Lonchura striata: one gene and its partners. The protein of the gene in region 1 purifies or fractionates together with the protein of each later gene. This does not show direct contact. Links are inferred from orthologs where the notes say so. Each region holds a gene or a part of one and is shown on either strand. Other genes may lie near its edges.

What was found.
Region 2: the proteins of RAF1 (region 1) and LRRC59 purify together in Homo sapiens (affinity purification with mass spectrometry; 3 studies listed by BioGRID and IntAct, with this or other methods). This does not show direct contact. The link is inferred for Lonchura striata from reciprocal best matches to the Homo sapiens genes RAF1 and LRRC59.
Region 3: the proteins of RAF1 (region 1) and CDC25A purify together in Homo sapiens (affinity purification with western blotting; 3 studies listed by BioGRID and IntAct, with this or other methods). This does not show direct contact. The link is inferred for Lonchura striata from reciprocal best matches to the Homo sapiens genes RAF1 and CDC25A.

What each region holds. Positions count from the first base shown.
Region 1 is NC_134614.1:4,709,865-4,714,116, reverse strand, and holds the start of RAF1 (RAF proto-oncogene serine/threonine-protein kinase), read right to left. Parts: upstream 2,698-4,252; 5' UTR 2,374-2,697; intron 1-2,373. UniProt on the Homo sapiens protein: Serine/threonine-protein kinase that acts as a regulatory link between the membrane-associated Ras GTPases and the MAPK/ERK cascade, and this critical regulatory link functions as a switch determining cell fate decisions including proliferation, differentiation, apoptosis, survival and oncogenic transformation.
Region 2 is NC_134621.1:5,720,479-5,724,730, reverse strand, and holds the start of LRRC59 (leucine-rich repeat-containing protein 59), read left to right. Parts: upstream 1-1,218; 5' UTR 1,219-1,343; coding exon 1,344-1,448; intron 1,449-1,793; coding exon 1,794-1,853; intron 1,854-2,368; coding exon 2,369-2,527; intron 2,528-2,832; coding exon 2,833-2,937; intron 2,938-3,522; coding exon 3,523-3,595; intron 3,596-4,019; coding exon 4,020-4,193; intron 4,194-4,252.
Region 3 is NC_134603.1:156,258,823-156,263,074, reverse strand, and holds the start of CDC25A (M-phase inducer phosphatase 1), read right to left. Parts: upstream 3,094-4,252; 5' UTR 2,966-3,093; coding exon 2,811-2,965; intron 682-2,810; coding exon 602-681; intron 1-601. UniProt on the Homo sapiens protein: Tyrosine protein phosphatase which functions as a dosage-dependent inducer of mitotic progression. Directly dephosphorylates CDK1 and stimulates its kinase activity. Also dephosphorylates CDK2 in complex with cyclin-E, in vitro.

The DNA of each region.
Region 1 (4,252 bases):
TATATATTTATCCTTATATATAAATATATATAGTTATACTTATAGCAGAGGTGCTTTAGGGATGAGACCATATAAATCTGTGGTGAAACTGCTTTAGTCTTGCTGTTTGTAGAGCAATGGGTTTTAGGGATTTTTTTTCCCCTTGAAATCTGCTCTGACATTCAGAACACAGTAAGCTCAGTCTCCTTGTTCTTTAAAAAAGCCATGGAATACTTGACAAACTGTGCCAAAGAGGAAGCACAAAGTCATTAAAACACTGGGAAATATCCACAACGTGCTGGTCCTTGGCTATTTCACTCTGGAATGAATGGGCACGGGTGGGGAATCACCTCTGATCCACCTCTCTCAGCTCACTTGGATTTCCCCAGGTTGCCAGGAATGAGTGGAGCTGCTCAAGTGCAATCTCTCGTCTCTGATTTTGCTGAGGAATAATAACAATGCAGTGATATAACTGCAGGAAGCTGTCCAAAATCATAAAATACCTCACTTTCCCCCCCACCTCATATCTGTGTCATTCCCTTTCCATTTGTTGTTCACAGCCTGAATTCCTCAGATAACTTCGCTGCAGACTTGAGCTTTACTGCAGATATGGAAAACTGCCTGGAAGTTCTGCTCCTTGGTTGTTCTGGCTGTTTTCCAGCCTCAGCAATATTCAAGATGCAACACATCCAACTTTCACCAGCAATCATTCTATAAAATACAGCCAAAAATAAAAGATCCCATACAAAATTAGCTGCTACCTTAATTAATGACTACAGGAAGAAGTAAAATGAGCCTGGCCCAGGTCTTTGGAGGGCTAATTCTAATTCTGCTGGAGAGTGAGGTGAGCCTAAAATACACCAGTGCAGGGCTAATCTTGAGGTCAGTAGGCATTGCAGATTTTCAGGGAATAGTGGGGTTTTCCAATCCAAAACCAGAGGATGTTGGTAGCTCTGACTGCACCCTGGGCACACACTGAAGCTCTTCCCAGCACCTGCTGCTAGAAAATGAATGTGGGGACACCTGAGCTGTATCAGGCAACTCTTTTAACAAAAACTAAGCTGATTTCTGGGAAACTGAGCTTGGACCAGGAGGAGAAGTCCTGAATAAGGAGTGGAGCTGCACGAGGCACACAGGAACAGGTTTGGAGCTGCCTGAGGACGTGACACACATCACACACTGCACACCCAGTGATGGGATAACCCTGCCCAAGGGATGCACAGGGGGATCTGGGGTGCCTGTGCAGGGCCAGGGGTTGGGCTGGATCATCTGTGGGTCCCTCCTGGCTCAGATATTCCATGATCCCATTAAAAACCCCTGTGCTGCTCCAAACACCCAAACAAAGTTGGCAGGAGTCACCTCCAGCTCCCTTCAGAAGGAGCTGCTGTTCTTAAGGGGAAGAACCAAAGCAAATCTCCAAAATGCACACCAGGGCAAGGTGCTGGCCCCACTGCTCAGCCCTGCAGGGGCCTCTGCAGCAGTGCAGGCTTTGCAGCAGTGCAGGTTTTGCAGCAGTGCAGGCTTTGCAGCAGTGCAGGCTTTGCAGCCCCTGAGCAGCACAGCCAGGCTGAGCTCTCCCTGTGGAGCAGCAGAACCAGATGGTCTTAGAGGTCTTCTCCATTCTGTGCTCCTGTTCATCCTGATCTAGCTCATTCTGTGCTCCTGTGATTCCCAGCACTCCCAAAACCCTGGAGAGAGGCAGGATTAAACTGTGGCACACTTGGAAAACCCAGGCCTTTGCACACATTAATCTCAGCCATCGTTTGGAAACTTCTGACCCACATGCAAGGAGCTCCAGGGGCAGATGGAGCCCTGCACTGCATGGATATAATCCATTGTTATGCAAACACACAGCTGCTTTTTAACCTCACTTTCACACTCCTGGTGGGTTTAGTTTCACAGCACCCAAAAAGGAGGCAGAGATAAAGCCTCCTGCAAAGAGGCTTCGATTAAATCTGGAAAGGGTTTTTGCAGACGGGTCAAAGGCAAGCAGTCTGCCGACCTGAAATGGAGCTGTGCTGCTCCAGGAAAGGGCAGGCACACTTCAAAATACAACTTTGTACCTGGTAAACATTAATCTCTGTATCTATTTAATATTTAAATAGAAAATGACAGTTTCAAAGATTATTAGATTATGATCTGTGCTCAGAAATTGTGGAAATTTCCACCAAAACCTTCATACAAAATTCATAAACCTCCCCTTAGAAATAGCACTGGGGCTTTTCCATCTGATTGCAGACTAATTAATTTAGCCTTTGGAAGCAGGTTTGGTAAGTATTTAATCCCGACCCTTTGGCCTGGATTCACAGATCCACTGTTAACCTCCCAGACAAGTAAAGGTGCTGCAAAAGCTGTGAAAACCCCGTTCCCCCCTTCGGCCCACTCAGGACTCACCAGAGCCGTGTTCCCACACCCAGCACCATCCGAGGGTTTGGATCCAGGGCAATCCCAAGGCTGGGACTTCTGGGAGCTCTCAGGGCCAGCAGGGACACCAGGGATGGTTCTGCTTCCCAAAAGGCTCCAAAGCCTCCTTTGTGTGAGCACAAATACCTGGAGCCAGGGGCTGAGCCCCGCAGGGTCACACGGGTGACAGGGCTAAAAACAGGCAAACCCAGAGGCTTAATTTAAAGTGCCCCAAAATGTTGGTGCTGTCCCCCCAGGGCTGCTCCTGCGCCTCTCCAGCTTTTCCTACAGCTTTCCTGGAATTTTAACATCCCTCTCTCTTCGGGGTTTGTGCTTTGGATTCTTTTATTTTTAGCTGCAGTGGTCTGCAGAGCCCGCCTGACGCCAGCAAATGTAACTGGAGCCGGGTCCCTGCGAGCCAGGAATTGCAGCCACCATCAGCACAGAGCTGGCACTGGGCAGAACCTGGGAGCCCCACTCCTGAATTTGTCCCCTGCCTTGGGAAAGCAGCGGGGGGACTGCATCAGACGGGTTAGGGGCGAGCAAATAGACATCAAAGATGCAAGGAGGTCTGTCCCACAGCAGATCCGTGTTAAATGGCTTCAGTGTGAGCAGGAGTTTACAGGAAAAGCCAAGCTTTCCCCTGCACTAACCCTGGCACGGGGCAGGCGTGCACAGAGCAGGCTAGGCTGCCTTTGGAAAGGGCTGCTGGCAGAGTGGGTAAATCAGAAGAGGCCACTGCTGACAGCCACCTCCCTCCCAGGGCACACATCCCAGGCCACGGTGGCTCCTTTTACACACACAAAACTGCAGCCCCAGGTCTGCTCCTGATCAATAAGGACCACATCTCCTACCCAGCTGCCAGGTTTTTACCTTTCCTCTCCATGCTGCACAACTGGAATAAATCTGGCTGAATCACCTTACCTGAACTCACCTCTTAGCTCTCTGTTCTGGTCCTGTAGCAGAGAAGCAAGTGAAGGGTTGCCAACTTACCTGATGGAGAAATTGTTCATCCTGACTATTCCAGGATCTGTAACCACAGCAACGTGTCTACAACAAAGTGTGATTGCTCCAAGGAAGGAAAATAGGAGTGTGGGGAGGCTTTCAGCCCCAGAGGTGAGAGGAGGAGCCAGCAGCAGAGCTGGGCTGCAGCAGAGGGCTCAGCCTGCCCATCCGGGGAGTGATGCTCCAAAAGCTGGGAATGCTCCCTCCTGCCCTCTGCAGCACTGTGCTGTGTGTCCTGGCAGGGCTCAGGCTTTGTTGGCAGGAAAGAGGAGAAATCAAGGCAAACAGAGAGCACTGCGCTTGCCATGGAGCAGGGAGAGCACGGAGCTCACATGGGGAGGCAGGAATGCTGGGCTGCCAGGATGGATTTCCTGGAGATCCAGAGTGTGTATGACACTGACAGCACCTGAAAATCACTTTTTTACAAGGCAGCTTCTCTGTCCTTTCACAAGGAACAAATGCAGAGCAAAACAAGTTGAAGACAGAGATGTCACCAGAGCAACTGTGACCCGTCAGTTTTCTCCACCCCATGAAGTTGATAAATACACCTTTTATTCCTGGCATATTTAAAGCTGGTTTGGGCAAATTAAGTAACCTGAGCATGTTTCCTTGGCAAAGATGGCATTATTTCACATTTGCTCACCTAGCTGGGAGCAGCCCTGCCAGCTGTCCCTGGTGCCACCTCACAGAGGGGCAGGAGGTGCTCTGCCTGCACTGCCCTGCTGGGGCACACACTGGGAAGGGACCAGCAAAACACACCTCAGGCACCCTCCAGTGTCCTCATCCTCTCGCTTTTCAGATGCTCTTCAGATCACATCTCCTCCTGGTTCTCCTGGTCCTTCTCATTCCTGATGAACCCTTCATT
Region 2 (4,252 bases), on another chromosome or scaffold:
CTCTTTCACTGACTTTCTCCACAGAGTGCCCTGCTCCTGTGGGACTGGAGCCTTGGGAGCAAAGCAGGAATATCCATTAAGTGTCCCTCCTGTGAACAGACATTGTGGGGTAATGTAACAGCCAAACTGAGAGGGAGTTCAGCCCCTGGATTATGGAGAGTGTGGACAGATATAAGCAGCTATATCAGGTATTGCAAAACAAGGTATACATCCTTGGGTTTCTGTTGGGATTATCGGCCATAAACCAGTTGGTTCTCTGTGTGTCAGGTGATGTGACTGGATGCAAAACCGCCCCTGCTCATGGGTCTTGGCTGGGAGTTCTCCTGCCTTCTGCAGGGCTGTTTCATGTAGCCCAGATCTAAACTCCTGCCAACCTGGCCAGGGTTCCAGGGCTGGTGGGACAGTTGCAAGGATGCCCTGAGCTGTGCCAGTGTGTCCCAAAATAGGCTCTCCCACCCAGTGTACAGGAGGCCAACCCAAACCCAGAGTTGTAGTATTTGATTTATTTACAGTTCTGCACTGGATGGCAAATCCACAAAGCCAGCATGACAACTGTCAAAACTTTTGACTGTTTATATATTTTAGCAAACAAAAGGCATTAATGTTCATTGGCTACGAGTTATCTGGTTCTCATATCAATTAGTATTCTATCTTCCAATGCCTAATGATTTTTTTCACTTCCCATACTAATTAGTCCACAGTCTTGTCTCTCTTCTTTTGGGTTGGTGGGTTTCTTGGGTCTGTGTCCATGAATAGGTGGTCATAATCTACTCCTGACAGAACTACCTTTTACCTGCTTGGAGCTGATTCAACCCAATTGCTGAGCCAGCTTTATTAGTTTCTTCCTTATCTTGGAAATTCTGCCTAATGTTCTTGTAGCCCATAAATCCTGCATTCCTTGTACCCACTATCAGTAGTACATCCTTCTTCCCAAGCTTTGTTAACATCCCATTACATCTGAGATCATCGCATCAACATTAAACCCTAACAAGACAATTCTACCAACAAGTAATTCGTCTTTCTAAGCGCTCAGAGCTTATTAGCGGTTGTCTGCTTCGGGGATTAAATCTCCTTTCTTTTTGCTTAGGTTTGAAAGAGATCGAGCATCAGGTAACGTTCTTTCTTAGGGTAACTCGGTGTCCTGCGGCGCCGGTGCGGCCCCGCTCCGGGCCGGCAGCGGGCGCGCTCGGGGCGGCTGGCGGGGCCCGTGCAGACGTGGCCGCGGAAGTGGGTGGCGGGGCCGGGCCGTGCCACGCCGGGCTGGGCTGTGCCGTGCCGAGCCGTGCCGAGCCGCTCCGAACCCAACCGAGCCGCATCCCCCGCGGGCAGCCGCCGACGGAGCCATGTCGCGGGGCAGCGGGAAGGGGATCAGCCTGAAGGATAAGCTGGATGGGAACGAGCTGGACCTGAGCCTCTGCGACCTGAACGAGGTGCCGGTGCGGGAGCTGGTGAGTCTCCGGCCGTACCCCCCCCGGCGGGGCTGGGGACCGCCTGCCGGTCCCCGGGAAGGAGCAGCGTAGGGGAGCTGGATGTGCTGGGGGCTTGTGAGCTGGCCTGCAGGTATTGAAAGCAGCGAGGTTCTGTCCCGCGGGCCCGACAGCCGCTAGTCACTGCTGTCCCGGGATAAGAACCTTTTTGGATACAGAGATGGATCCGGAGATGACGTGGCCTCGGAGCAGCCGCGGGGGATGGACAGACTGACGCGGGAGAAACCGCAGAGGCCGAAGCAGAACAGGTGTCAGAGGGGGTCGGGTGAACCTCCATGTTCATTCAGTGCTTTATTTGTCTTTCAGGCCGCTCTTCCGAAAGCTACTATCTTGGATTTGTCCTGTAACAACCTCATTTCCTTGCCGGTAAGGTGCTAGAGAGCCTCCGTGGGGATGTGTCTGCTGGGAAATATTTGGAAAGATAGCTGGTGCTTCAGGAGAGGCTCACCAGGCACCGTGGAACTGGCATTTTCACTGCCCTGGGGTGGCTGAATGACTCGTTGTCAGTGACGGGTCAGTGCTGGCAGTGATTTGGCTGAGGCAGGAGAGAGTACAGGGTTGAACTGTGTGAAGATTGCAGTACACTCCTTCCAGAGCATCCCCAGGTTAATAGAGAGGACTTTCATCCGCAGTGGAGACTTGGGTTTGTTCCTGTCATATTGTCATCCATAACCTTCTCAGTCTGTCTATCTGTCCTACTGTGTCTCACCTCCATCTTCCAAGGCAAAGGAGGAGAGTAATCTTCCTCCATCACAGTCTTGTAGTAAATCAAGGATGTGTGCCTGATGCAAGGTGCAGGCTGTCTCCACATACTTCCCACTTAGGTTCTTCCATAAAGGCGCTAACCGGCTTTCTCTGGGTTTTCTTTGTTTGGGTTTTAGTCAGACTTCTGCAGTTTGATGCATCTGGTGAAACTGGATTTGAGTAAAAATCGGTTGCAACAGCTGCCCTTGGACTTTGGCCGCCTGGTCAATCTGCAGCACCTGGACCTTCTGAACAACCGCTTGGTCACCCTGCCAGTCAGCTTTGCACAGCTCAAGGTAAAACTGTTTGCTGGGCAGTTACGTAAAGCTTTGGGATGCAGCCCAGGGTCTTGTGATCCTGCTCAAGTTGATTTCTCTGGTAAAGCATCCATCCTGCTGACTACTCATTCCAAAATTCAGCTGGGTCTGCATCACAGCTCAGTGAAAATCCTCTCAGTCTATTGAAAACAACTCTGCTCATTTTCTGTACCTGTTTCATTAATGTGAAAACTAAGCAGTTCTTTGCTTCTGCTTCGGATCTCTTAAATAATTCCAGGACTGCTGTGCTCTTACAGCCTCCCCTTTGTTGTGATTTTTTGCAGAACCTGAAGTGGCTGGATCTGAAGGACAATCCCCTGGATCCTGTCCTGGCTAAAGTGGCAGGAGACTGTCTGGATGAGAAGCAGTGTAAGCAGGCTGCTGTCAAGGTAAGGAGTCTGGTTTTATTGTATTTTTTTTTTTTTTTCCTTTAATGGCTTTGCCAGTGATTCTTTCTCTGCTTAGTGAGCTGGGTATCTGCTGCAGGAGCCCAGCCCAAAGTTTCTTCAGGGAGTGAGGTGCAGGTCCACTGCACTGACTTCCCTATTGCTATGCTTGTGGAGAGCAAACACCCGGCTGAGGAGGATGCTTCTCCATTGGTGGAGTGAAGAGAGGATGAAATACTGGTTCCCAAGAAAATAGAGGCATAATAAGACATAGTAATTCATGCCTGTGCTGATAGCACAAAAAGCTCTGGAGAAGTTCTGGCAAACATAAATAGAAATGTTCTGTGATCCTATGTATCACTGAGCACCAGTTTGCCATGTTTGTTTTTAACAGGAGGATTGGCTTTTTTACAACAGAAACTCACACAAGTTGTGAGTTCTTTCCAGTGCTGTAGCTGTAGGGATAGGGGAGGGTTGGGAGTCAGCCCCAGCTGCTTGTTCTAAGCCATACTCCATCTGTTCTGTTCTGAACTGACTGTGCCACTGGGCTTCTGCACAGCCCTCAGGTTGTTTTCTTGGCTTTTTAAGGTACTGCAGCACATGAAAGCAATCCAGTCCGAGCAAGATCGACAACGGCAGCGGAAACTCCAGGCAGAGAGAGGTAGGGACAAACAGCCCCCACGTGCAGTCTGCTGAGGACTGCTCTTGGTCTAACACATCCAAACATTCTGATCACCATCTAATAAATTGCCATCTAACATATACTTGTAGCCAAAGTAGTCAAAGCACTCAAGGAATAGTAGAGTAAAATGGCTGGAGGGAGAAATATAGCAGGGGAGTAGTGTATGTGATTCCTTGGCCTGAGGAATAGTTAAATCTCTAGATGGAATGTGCTATAGGTTATCTACGAAACTTGAAAGAAAAGCACAGCAAAATGCAAGGTATGTAATACTAAATAAAATTATAAAAAAAGATGATAGTTGTTTAATTGGCTTCCTCATTCCAGTTGGGACAATAAGGTAGTAAGGAAAATGGCAGTGACAACCCTCTTACATAAAAGGGGAAAACTTGCTGTTAACCCCCAGAAATGGAGAAGAAGCGTGAAGCAGAACAGCGAGCAAAGGAGGCTCTGGAGAGAGAACTGCGGAAGCGAGAGAAGGCAGAGGAAAAAGAGCGCAGAAGGCGGGAGTACGATGCTCAGAAAGCTGCAAAACAGGAGATGGAAAAGAAAACAAAAAAGGAAACAGTGCACACCCGAAGTAAGTAGCGTCCATTTTGGGTGGGATTGTGTCAGGTTTCATTGTCATCAGCTTGTGAT
Region 3 (4,252 bases), on another chromosome or scaffold:
TCCCTGGTTTGTGAGCTGCACTGCTGCTTCAGCACTTCACAAAGTTCTTTTTTGGGCTGAAAGTGCCCTCAAAATGGGGCATAAATCCAGGTGGAAACAGTGATTTCCCTCAGCTGGAGCAATGAAGCACCAGAGGGAATCTACAAGTTATGGGGTGAGAGCTTATTTCATTTTCAACGATAAAACATCTCATGTGAAAAACAGGAAATCCTCCCAGGAAGTACCAGAACTGAGGGGTTTCAGATCAGATCACCAACCCGTGCCCTGGGTAACAGGAGAACACAGGACAGAGCCACTCACTGGCACAGTCTGGGTTTAAAGAGAGAAAACACAGTGAGGACTTGTTTTCACTCCCTACTGCTCACAGCCTCCAGGACAATTAAAGCAAAATTTAAAATAATAATTCAAAAAAATCTACAGCCCAAACCACGAGCTGCAGAGGTTTCCTGGGGGATTTTCCATCTGCCTCCCTCCTTCCAAGGGCATGGGAAAGAGAGGGGGCTGCAGGCAGGGCCAGTTCTCTCTCCAAACCCTGGGTGCCATGTAGGAGTGCATTGCTTTGCAATTCCTAATCAGAATTTATTAATTGAGGCAGCCCCACCTGAGTCTGTGGACTCTGAAGATGCTGATCTGTGCAATCCATTTTTGGTTCCCACGTCCTGGTCCAAATTTTCATGCTGCCTGGAAAGGAAAATTTGGGATTTGCTTTAAAAGCAAGAAACACAACACTGCAGGTAGGTACAGCACAGGTGGGCATCACCTGGAGTTCTATCAAAGCCCAGTTATCCTTCCTGGAACTGCAATCCTCTTTGGCAGACACTCCTTTAATTCAGGTTTTGCATTGATAAAATTGCTGAATTTCTAATTCAAACCCATTTTGATAAATAGTTACCTCCCAAATTTTGTTTTATCTGCTAAACCTCAGTGCTGAGAGAGAAGAAAATCATATGGAGTCCCACATATAAAAAGGAAAAGCTACCTGAGTGAGGCTCCAGCATGTGGTTAATTAAAAAAAGAATGTAGCCAGGGCTACAAAATCAAAGGGCTGAATAAATTCCAAGAGGGGCACTGCCAATGGCTTGCAGGAATCCCAGGAATCTGAAGGAAGGATGGGACCATAAGGCAGGTGGTGGCAGAAATGAGAACAGAAAATCAACAAACAAAATCCAGGAGGGTCATTGAGACCTGAGTGGGCCAGGACAAAACAGGAGCCACACAAGGGAGGAACTGTGGGAATAATGGGATTAGAGGAGTTAAGAGAGCAGGAAAAGGGAGCAGCTGGGGTTTAGGGAAGGGGTGCAGCTGCAGAGCACAGAGCAGGAACAGGGCAGGCAGGAGGACATGGAAGGGACACAAAGCTTTTTGTGGGAGAGAGGGAAAGCCAGGGAAGGGCTCAGGAGGGAGGGGAATGCCCAGAGCAGAACCTGGGCAGGGGGAAGGTGTCCCAGAGCATGGATCTGTGTGGGATGGGGGCAGGAGGGCAGAACAGATGGGAGGCAGCAGCCAAAGGGGGCCCTAAGGGACTCCTGGAGGTTTGTGGGGTGGTGTCAGCGGTCAGGAGCACACAGAATCACAGGATATGACTCTATGCAGCTGCTTCTATTGAGAGCTCTGGGAATCAGGGGTACAGACCCAAATCTGACTCCCACATGGCTTTCGAGCTGAACGTATTTTATATTCTATCCTTACAGAACTTACATATTAATTATTAATTAAACTTATATTGTTCTATTGTATACATTGACCTTATTCAACCATGAGTTTCTCGTGATCTTTCTTAAGCTTCTGACCAGTTTCTCATGATTATTCCTACGATCAAACAGTAATTATATTTAATTACTAAACAATCATCACATCTAACAATTATATCACTTATCACGTACCAGCTACACAGGTGCAGTTCCAGCAAGGCACAAGGCCTACACGTTCCCAGGGTATTTTCCCAGGGCCTACTAAGCTTCATTTTCCTTCTAACCCTAAATCCCCGTGATTTTAAAACCCTTTCACGATCAGCGGGAGGGTTAAAACCGAGGCCTCGTGGGTGGGCGCGGGCAGAAGAAACAGCCCCGGGAGGCCTCGTTTTTGGGGGAAGGGCTGGGGGAAGAGGGGCTGGAGGTGTGGGGAGGGCGCCTGGAAGGAGAGGAAGCGGGATGAGCCCGCAGTGCCGGGCGGGGAGAAAGGGAATAAAGAGAACCCTCCATTGGGGGTGGGGGGAAAGGGAATAAAGAGAACCCTCCATTGGGGGTGGGGGGAAAGGAAAAGGAGGGATCCACGAGGCTGTTTTTTGGGGGGCTAGGGCAGATGAGCACCCCGAGGCTTTTCCTTGGGAAGGAGGGGGGACAGGGAAGGGAAGGAGTTCCTGAGAGCTGGGAATAGCTGGGGAAGGTGAGGGGGGGGTTAAAAGACGTGCCTGGGGCTTTGGGGCTTGCGAGGGGCATAAAGCCATCAAAGGGGTTTGGGGTTTTTATCCGTGTAATTCCCTAAGGGTTCCCAGTGTAAAATACGCGTTTTTCACAATAGCGCGGGAGGGAATTACGGGGGTGGAGGGAAGGCGAGGAAAAGGACTCCTGGAGGCCTGGGGGGGGGTTTATACAAGGGGGAGCCTCCCTAGGCCCGGCAGCGGGAAGAAAGCGTTTTGGAGAGGGACAAAGTGCCCGGAGCAGAGCAGGAAGGAGCTCCCTTGGCACGGCAGGAAGCAGCGCGGGACGAGCCCTCCAAACCTCGCTTTTTCCTGTGGGAGAGGGGGGGTCACCACAGAGGGGAGAAAAAGGAGGCGCCCGGGCTCTGGTGGGGCCCGCGCCCCGACTCACCCGCGCCCCAGCTGCTCCATGGTGAGGCGGAGATCCGAGACAGGCGAGAGCTCATCCTGAAACAGCGCCTTCACCACGGCGGGCGAGGCGGGGGAGGCCGGCGAGAGCAGCAGGAGGCGGCGGCGGCGGTGCGGAGCGCTCGGGGTGGGCTCCATCGCAGCGGGACCGGGGATGCAGCGCAGCCCTGCCGCCCCGTCCCGTCAGCGCGGCCGCCGCGGCGTTTTGACCCCAACCGGTACCCGTCGCCCGCTCTGAAGCTGGCGCCAAACCGCGGCTCGGCCAATCAGCGCGCGGGGCCCCGCGGGGGGCGGGTTGTTTTTTTTCAAACCTCCCCTCCCACCGCGCGCGCTCCGGCCAGTAGGAACGGCGGCGCCGCGGCCAGGCCCCGCCCACGGCGGTTGCTTGGCGTCGCTCTGGACCAATAGGAACGCGAGGAAATCGGAGTTGGGGGGGAGTGCGCGCCAGCGCGGAGGGACTACATTTCCCAGTATTCCTAGCAGGCGCGCCGCGTTATCGCTGTCTGCGTTGCATGCTGGGTAATGTAGTTCCCGTCTCATAGCGGCGCCTCTTTGCCGCCATGTTTCCGGCCGTCTCCCTTTAGCCTGGGCATGAGGGGAAAATGGGGAACGTGAAGGAAAAAAGGCACAAACTCAGCAGATAACGCCGCCTCGCTGAGACAAAGAGCCCTTCCCACATGGTTTCTCATCAAATGAGCTCTCCCTGAGAACAAAAGCCACTTTGTGAGGCGTTTGGTGAGCGGCTGGGGAAGTAAGGCACTGCACATCCCTGCAACACCAGGATGGGGTTCACGGACAGAGGAGCAGGAAAAGGGAGACTTGACAGTACTCCACATAAACTCTTTAGGACACTCAGCTTCTCCCCAGCTGAGCGTTCGCAGATCCGTGCTGTCCAGCCCCTGGCAAATCCTCTGCCATGTCTCTGGTGGTTCCAGAGGCTGCTGTGTCCAGCTGATCGCTTTGGATGCAGGGGATCTCCAGGACACGACCCCTGCGCCCTGCCACCCCCAGTCACACAGTGCTGCTGGTTCCTGGATTAGACAGTGGGGTGTTTGATCCTTCCCTGAGCATGCCGGATCTCAGAGATTGCCATCACACCCCGGCTCCTGCTGCTCTTCCAGGCACCCTCACTCCTGCTATCCCTCCCTGAACATTTTCCTTTTTACAAGACTTTTTTCAGCAGTTACCACCACCAAACAGCATTGGCTTCCTAAGCCAGGAATTGTGGGTTCTGTTCCATCTAGGTTGCCAGAACTGATGCCTTGTGAAGGCTGACCCAGAACAGAGGCTAGACAGAGTTAAAGAATAAAGTAGGTATTTAGTAAAAGGCCTTAATGGCTGCATCTTGGGCAGCGCAAGAGCCCAGCCAGGGCTACACCCAAAATGAACCAAAATTGTCACAAAATGCATGACCAGTCATGAGGC